2 linked regions of the Mus musculus genome follow. The protein of the gene in region 2 interacts with the protein of the main gene of each other region in a pairwise test. Links are inferred from orthologs where the notes say so. Each region holds a gene or a part of one and is shown on either strand. Other genes may lie near its edges.

The links.
Region 1: the proteins of Ndor1 (region 2) and Ciapin1 interact in binary tests that used the Homo sapiens proteins (3 or more experiments, as listed by UniProt). The two-hybrid records come from large-scale screens. The link is inferred for Mus musculus from reciprocal best matches to the Homo sapiens genes NDOR1 and CIAPIN1.

The regions. Positions count from the first base shown.
Region 1 is NC_000074.6:94,821,208-94,825,014, forward strand, and holds part of Ciapin1 (anamorsin), read right to left. Parts: intron 2,525-3,807; coding exon 2,446-2,524; intron 2,001-2,445; coding exon 1,890-2,000; 3' UTR 1-1,889. UniProt on the Homo sapiens protein: Component of the cytosolic iron-sulfur (Fe-S) protein assembly (CIA) machinery required for the maturation of extramitochondrial Fe-S proteins.
Region 2 is NC_000068.7:25,245,284-25,249,090, forward strand, and holds part of Ndor1 (NADPH-dependent diflavin oxidoreductase 1), read right to left. Parts: intron 3,730-3,807; coding exon 3,622-3,729; intron 3,464-3,621; coding exon 3,349-3,463; intron 3,203-3,348; coding exon 3,053-3,202; intron 2,958-3,052; coding exon 2,839-2,957; exon of another isoform or gene 2,772-2,838; coding exon 2,677-2,771; intron 2,572-2,676; coding exon 2,427-2,571; 3' UTR 1,523-2,426; coding exon of another isoform or gene 1,426-1,522; 3' UTR 1,313-1,425; coding exon of another isoform or gene 974-1,312; 3' UTR 952-973; coding exon of another isoform or gene 901-951; 3' UTR 867-900; coding exon of another isoform or gene 492-866; 3' UTR 1-491. UniProt on the Homo sapiens protein: NADPH-dependent reductase which is a central component of the cytosolic iron-sulfur (Fe-S) protein assembly (CIA) machinery.

The sequences.
Region 1 (3,807 bases), on a different chromosome or scaffold from region 2:
CGCCAGGGCCCTATTAACCAAGCCAACCAAATCATTATCCTTCGTGCCAGTCATAGCTAGCAATCAACAAGCAGGTCTGAAGGGCTTGTGGCGTTTACTAAGCCCACAAGGAAGCTCTGGTCCAGGAGCATCTCCTCCTCCTAGAGGCTCAAGTGTTTGTCCCTCACCTAGGTAACTGCAGTAGAGGCCGACAACAGGTCTGTGACTGGGCCAGTTGGTCAGCTAAACCTAAACCCATCTGGGGCTGAGTTTTTGTTGCTGTGTGACAAATCAGTCAGCCACACCCCCACTTATTATCTTGGCTTTTCTGTCAATTGCTCTGGCCTGAGAAAACCTTTTTTGGTTTTGGTACTAGGAATCAAAAACAAGGCTTTGTGCATACCCAAGTGTTCCATCCATGGATCCCAGCCATTAATTCAGGCACAGGCTGTGTTCTCATTTGAAAGCGAGTCCTCTTTCAAGCTGGCACAGTGATGACAGAACCAAGCTCCTTGCTGTGGGGCTGTAACCACCACCACCCCACCACCACCCTTTTTTTCCCCCCAAAACAGGGTTTCTCTGTGTAGCCCTGGCTGTCCTGGAACTCACTCTGTAGACTAGGCTAGCCTTGAACTCAGAAATCCGGCTGCCTCTGGCTGCCAAGTGCTGGGGTTAAAGGCATACACCACCACTGCCTGGCTCCCACTTTCTTAGTAGGGCTAAGAGGTACACACCTCCTAAAACTTCACCACTAGCTTGTGCACAGGCAGCAAAACAAAGCCTTTGTTTTCTAATTCTTTTAAAGGATCAAGAGAATGGGCCAAGGATAATCTCCCGTCTAATTAACTTTAATCAGCAGGGACTGTGGGTCCATCTGTAAAACCCTTTCACTTAGCAAAGCCTCTTCCACTCAGAAGAGAAACACCAGAGGTTTTCAGGGTTTGCTGTAATTGGAGGGGAGGTAACACAAGGCAAGGGTCACTGGGGTCAACAGAAATTCTGCTTCTCAAAGGGCTTTTCACCACACCCATAGCAGCAGAAGCTAGCTAAGCAGATCAAGTAACAAGGACAGGTAACAGCAGGCATGATGGATAACAGGGATGTGGGCAGAGGCAGGAGGGAGACTGAAGAGGGCCTCCTGCTCTGATACTTCCTGCTGCTGGTCCAGCCTGCCCTAACCTGCATTCTCCACCTGGCTCCTACAGGAGGTGAAGACAGATCCTAGTCCTAGCTAGTGGGCAGTTCTGGCCCCACTCCTGTGTGACGATGACTTCTTCAAAAACAATTTTCATAGTCCAAGCTGAATGTGGATGGGTGACAGACAACCCTTCACTACCACACACAGACACAAAGACACACTCACAGTAAAAGGGAGACATAAAAACACAAAAGTTTAATACCATTTAACAGAAATGACAACAGGACACAGATACAACACTACAGTAAAACGGGGTGAGGTGAGAAAGGCAGAGGGACACAAGATGGATCACAACTGGGGGAGTGACTTCTTTGGTGCCCCTGAGGCCCTTTGACAGCTAACCCATGGCTCCAAGAACTACATCCTGAGGAAGTCCAGCAGGTGGCAGCATCACTGAGCGGAGCCTGGAGCTTACTCAGCATAAATACTCAAGGGTGGAGAGGGACAGCACTGTAACACCAGGAGCAGAGTTCCTTAGGCGCATCCACCCTCTTCCCCTAACACTAAGAGACAGGTCCCCTCAATCCTTGGTCTTTCAAGACACAGCAGCACCCCACCCCACTGCCCACAGCAGCTTCGCTCGCTCGCTCGGCTGCAAGCCTCTCCCTGTGAGTGTTTTCAGAGCGCCTGAATCCAGAGGTGGGAGGAGGCCGTGGGAGGAGCTGAGGACAGGAGTTGCTGGAGGAGGAGGTGTGTGGGCTTGAGGTCCCTCCTAGGCATCCTGGAGATTGCTATTGCTCAGGAGCACCTGCTCGCCAGGCTTGAAGGCTGGCATCCCGAGGTAGGGGCAGTTGGCACAGCGGAAAGCGTCACCCAGGTAGCACTGTGGAGAAACAACAGTCACACAGAGAGGCTAAGGGCCAAAGGGAAAGGGCACCTGCGTACACCCACGGGTCTCTTGTTCTATGAAACGTCAGTCAGTACGGGCGCCAGCCACGAGAGTTGGTAACACAGCTGTACTGACGTACTTGGGAGGCTGAGGCAGGTTTATGGCCTGCCTGAGTTATGTGGAAGCCCATGGGACGGAGGAGAGGTAGCTCAGGCAGCCTCTGCTACAGGAGATCACAGCAAGGTCAGCCAAAATAAAAACTGATAGCCACTGTCAGCCTGGCATGAGAATGCCGATTCCCTCTCGGGATAACCTCTTCTCATTACAGCTGCACTCGTGGCCCACTATGACAACACTCAGTGACAAATCCCTTAAGATCAGCTACTCTGTGTGCAGTTAGGGTCAGGGGTTGGTGGGTGTCAGGAGGTGCAGTACGTACATTTCCACAGGCTGACTTGGGCTGAGAGCTCTGCGCCTTGGACTGCTCCCGCTCCAGTTCCTCTGCGAGGCCACAGGTGCTGGGGACCCAACAGAAGCATCAAATCTCTTACAGTGCTATCATACACCTAAGACTTTTCTCTTTTTACATAATGTCAAGTCAAGTGTTACAGAAGCAGCAGGCTAGGGGTGAGGCTGCTGGGGAAGACAGCAGAGTGGAGAAGGATAGGGGAGCTGTCCTGCTGACTTCTGTGGGAAGCAGACCCAAATTCATGAGCAGAAGGAGCTGAGCCCAGTGGTAGAGCACTTCCCTAGCAGGTGTAGGACCCTGGGCTGTATGCCCAGCACCACAAACATACCAAAAATAATTAAACACAAGAAAACCTGGATTTTCACTTGAAATCCTCTCATTTGATGTTGGCAAACTGGAATAAAGCCAAAGGTGGTGGTGCAGGGCTGAGACCCCAGCACTGGAGAGGTCAGCAAAGTTACAACACCAAGCTCCCCGTGAGCCTGAACTGTAGTGTGAGACTATCTCAGAAAACAAACAAACAAAACAACAACAACAACAACAAAACCAAAACCAAAACCAAAAATAGGGCTGGAGAGATGGCTCAGCAGTTAAGAGCACCGACTGTTCTTCCAAAGGTCCTGAGTTCAAATCTCAGCAACCACATGGTGGCTCACAACCATCTGTAATGAGATCTGATGCCCTCTTCTGGTGTGTCTGGAGACAGCTACAGTGTACTTCGATATAATGATAAATAAATCTTTTTTAAAAAGTATAAACAAACAAACACACAAGCAAAGAGCCATAATAACCACCAGTGGATGAATAAACAAGCCAAGCCTGTCTGGCACTAGTAGAAATACCAATGCAAAGCTTCTGTGTTAGGACAGAGTGACACAGGGACCTACTATTTCACGCTTTTCAAACTCCCCCCAGCACTACAAAAACAACAGCAGTACACAATTGGAAACTAGGGAAACAGCAAGACTCAGCTTGACAGACAAACCACCACTCCCACCTCCTCCTGAGCCTTAAGGTGCGGAAAAACTGGTAGCTTACATAGGAAGACTTGCCCTGAGCAACCTTATCCCTGTAGAAGACACAAGGCTCTGAAACTTAAGAGCTTTCCCACCCTCAACATCTAGCTAGGCTCCCTTTAATAAAAGTGAATAAACAAATACACCTAGATGCTCACCTATATGATCAGCTTGTTTTTATTTATTTTAAAAGTTTTCAAAACAGTCTTGCTATATAGGCAACCCTGCCTCAGCCTCTTGCATGCTGGCCTGGAACTCTATATAAACCATGCTAACCCGGAGCTCAGAGAGATCCACTTGCTTCTGCCTCTCAAGG
Region 2 (3,807 bases):
AGCTTTTGAAGGCTGGCTTGTGCAGTGCAGGCCTCTCCTGGTAGTTACTGTGGCTGCTGCTGTTGCCTTCAGGACACACACCAGCTTCTGTCTGGTGCAGGTGAGAGTCTGCAGCCCTTGCCTTCTCCAATGAACAGATCTCAGGATAAACAGAATCACTGTTGGAATCACACATTTGTGTCCACTCTCACCAGCTGGACTACGAGCTGGCGGTATAGCCCAGCTTCTGCCTGTGGCCAGTGAGATGACCGCCCATGGCAAGCACATAGGGTTCTTTTCACAACTCTTTCTGCCAGGCCAAGCTCCTTCAGAGGCTGTCCTTGTGTCCTTGGCTTTAGCTAATATCTAGGCTGCAAGGGTGTGTAAGCACTCTGGCTGGCGTAGGCTCTTAGGCATGTATAGTCTTGGTATTGGTGATAACAAGTCTTTGCTGATTACCAGAATCCAAGCGTGCATGGACTTCAAAGCTTGGCCAGCATTCTGGGCTCTGCTTAGTGGGTGGAACGGTCTAGCAGCATGAAGAGCACCCCTAGTAAAAGGAGCGGCATGAAGATGACCACCAGCCCGAGCAGTTCAAGGACCAGTAGGCTCAGCAGTGACAAGCGGCGGGCACAGGGGCCACGTTCCCGTAGTGCCCACAACCAGGTGCCTAGGCTGGGAGGGCAGGGCAGGAAGGGGAGACAGCTTCGCCCTCCCACAGGCCCTGCCAGGAAGCGCAGCTGGTAGCGGTGCTCTAAGGGACCCCAGGGCCAAGGGCCAGGATGCAGGGCTGTGACGGATGCAGTCCGCATTGGGCGCTGGGGTCCATCAGCTCGAAGCAGTTCCTCCTGCAGCTGACAGATCTCCCACTCTAGCATAGGTGTCTTCTGACGACACAGTGGACAGCACACACGGCCCAGGTCAGCTCTGGGGGTCATGCCTAACAGCTGGTGTAGGCAGCCCACACACAGGCTGTGACCACAGTTTAGCAGGGTCAGGTGGTGCTCACTAGGCCCATAAGGCTCAGCACAGATGGGACATTCCTCCTCCTCCACAACCTGCCCCTCACCTTCCTGCTCTTCCACAGTTGACTCCAGGGCCCTGGCAGCGGATGGGTCTCTGGCCTCCAGTTCCGGTTTACTGTCTGGAGTTCTGGCACCCAGAGGGGCCCTGAGATCATCCTCTCCATCTGCTGGTAGCTGGCACAGTGGGTCCAAGAGCTCAGGACCCAGAGAAGCACCGGGTGAACTAGTAGACACAGAGCTGGTGTCATTAGGTCCCAGGTTACCACTAGAACAGAGGTCAGGATGCGTAGACGGAGACTCCAGGATGACTGCAGGGATTGTTGTAGATATGAAGGTGTGGCCCTCAGGAGCCAGGCAGAGCTTGGCCTCCACCCATCCACCTGAGCACTAACCTCTAGATAACCCTTTCGGCTTGCTGACCTCACTGGAAGTAAGCTTCACTTGGGTCCCCGCAGCATGTCAACTCTTGGTATCTGAGGCCTAAGAGTGGTGTTGGTCTGGTCCCTGTTTTCCACAAGCTGACAGACAGAACCGAGGTTCCTTAGCGCCCAGCTGCCCTTGGACCTGTCTGACTGCTCCAACAGGGTTTCCTTCCCAGCAGTGGAGGCCCTGCCCATGGGCGGGCCAACACAAATCACACCCCCTCCACCTGATCATTCTTTCAGTTCTTTGGAAAGAATAGTGCATGCTGGCTCTTGGCTGGGACTTCCAAATAAATAGCTCTCTAAGCCCTCTCTGCTTGGCCATGAGAGAAGGGTATATGAGCTTGGCTGAGTTGTGTGGCCATCAGAGAAGGGGACTAGCTTGGCTAAACTGTCAGTACAAGCCTGTGCTCATGCCCTGGAGGGCTCTTTGCCCACCACTAGCAGATGCAGATAATCCATGTCCCAACCACCACTCTCAAATCTAGAAGCAATAAAAGAGAAGTGAGCGGCTACCCAGGCAGTTAACTCATGTTTATGGACCTGCAGACAGACAGATTTGCCCATTCCCAATGCTCAGGAGACTTGGTCCCTGGTGGCTTTTCAACTGAGCTGAGCTGCACAGGTGTTATGGGACTAATGGGAATAGCACGGGGTCAGACGGGCAGTGCAGCCCGCACAGCTCTATGTCCTTTGGAGGGCTTAGCAGGCCCTTGGTGGTAGGGACTATAAATGCAGATTTGGGGCAGAATGAAGGGGTCTGAGAGAAAACCAGGAGTTCTAGCTGCACCGGGGCTGGGCCTACGTATGGGACACTGGGTTCCACTGAGTTTGGCTGTACGCAAGGACTGCCCTCCTGGTCAGCTGGACCAAAAAAGCGAAACTGTGGGTCTACCCAGTGTTCTGGGATTAGAAGGCAAGAGGTAACAATGGGCCTTCTAGACTCCAGCAGGCTACCCAATGCAGCTGTTAATGTGAGTGTGAGCTAGCAAGTGGCTCCTCAGGCCCAGGTTTCAGTCTGGAAGCGCAGTGTCTGCTGGAGCCTAGCAAGGTAGGCAGATGCATCTGCAGTGGAGAGTCGTCCTTCTTCTTGAAAAATGGACATAAGGGCTTCCGAAACATCCGTAGGCAAATATTTAGCATTGCTGGAAAGGCAGGCCTCAGAAAGCTCAGTGATCCCGATTCCCAACCCTTACTACTACCCTTCCCTAAAGGCTGGTCCACCCCCCGACATTCCCAAGTTTGCTCACCCTGCTAGGTAGAAGTAGGCACCTTGGCCATCCAGCAGCTCCCAGACAAGTGGCCCCAGCTCTCGAAGCCGGTGCTGCACATATACCTTCTGCTCCTGCAGGTGTCAGAGGCTAAGTTTCAGCCATCCCAACTCCTGTCCTATCTAACTTGAATATACTCACCTGCTCCCGGGAGAAGGCTGTAACCAGGGTCAGCCAGCCCTTCTGCTCTAGCTTCTGCCATTCAGTCTGCCAGTAGAAGTCCTGATCCCGCTGGCGGCAGCCAAAGAACAAGAAGTTTCCTGGGGTACATAGGGCGGTCCCCGTCTGGATGCAGAAATTCAGCTAGACCAGGCTCAGTGGTCAGGTCACACTGCTTTGGAGCTCCAGTACTCACCAGTTTGGCCATGAGCCACTCGTTCCTGAATGGCTGCTCGGAAGGGGGCCACACCAGTTCCAGCCCCCACCATGATAATGGGTGTGTCTGGTGTTTTTGGGAACACGAGGCTCCCAGGACGTACCCACAGAGGCACCCGGACAGGTCCTGCTGCAGAAGGGAAATGGCATGTAGGAGGTCAAAAGACAGTGCTAAGGTGCTAAGTGCTTGAGCTCCTGGGGTAGCAGGAACAGGGGAAGATGGGCACTTGAGGCTATACTCTCTCCCAACCCCGAGCCCCAGAACTATGGATTTACCTTGCCCAGGATTCAGGGATGCTAGCCAGGAGGAGCAGAGACCATGGCGGGGCTCCTTCAGACGAGTCTGGTACTTTACCACAGCCACAAGGATCTGTAGCCTCCTGGGATGAGCCTATGGACACAGTGATGGCACTGCCCTGCTAAAGCACTCCTGCCTACTACCAACCCCAGGAGGGACAGTCCCTGGTAGAGAGGCAGCCCCCATCTACACACGCCCTACCCAGTCCCAGTTTTTTCAGCCAGTCTTCAGTTTTACTCAGAGTCCCTCACCAGTAGGGAGGAAGCAATGGAGAAGGCCCGTGGGCGGATCCGAGGGATTAGGTCCAAAAGGTAGTCTGGAGGAATGGCACCCGCTGTATGTGGAAAGTCGCATAGCACCTGGATAAATGGAGTCTTATTGTGTGGTGGTGTGCACACCACAGCTCGGCAGCCCATACCCACCTGCCTGCCCACAGG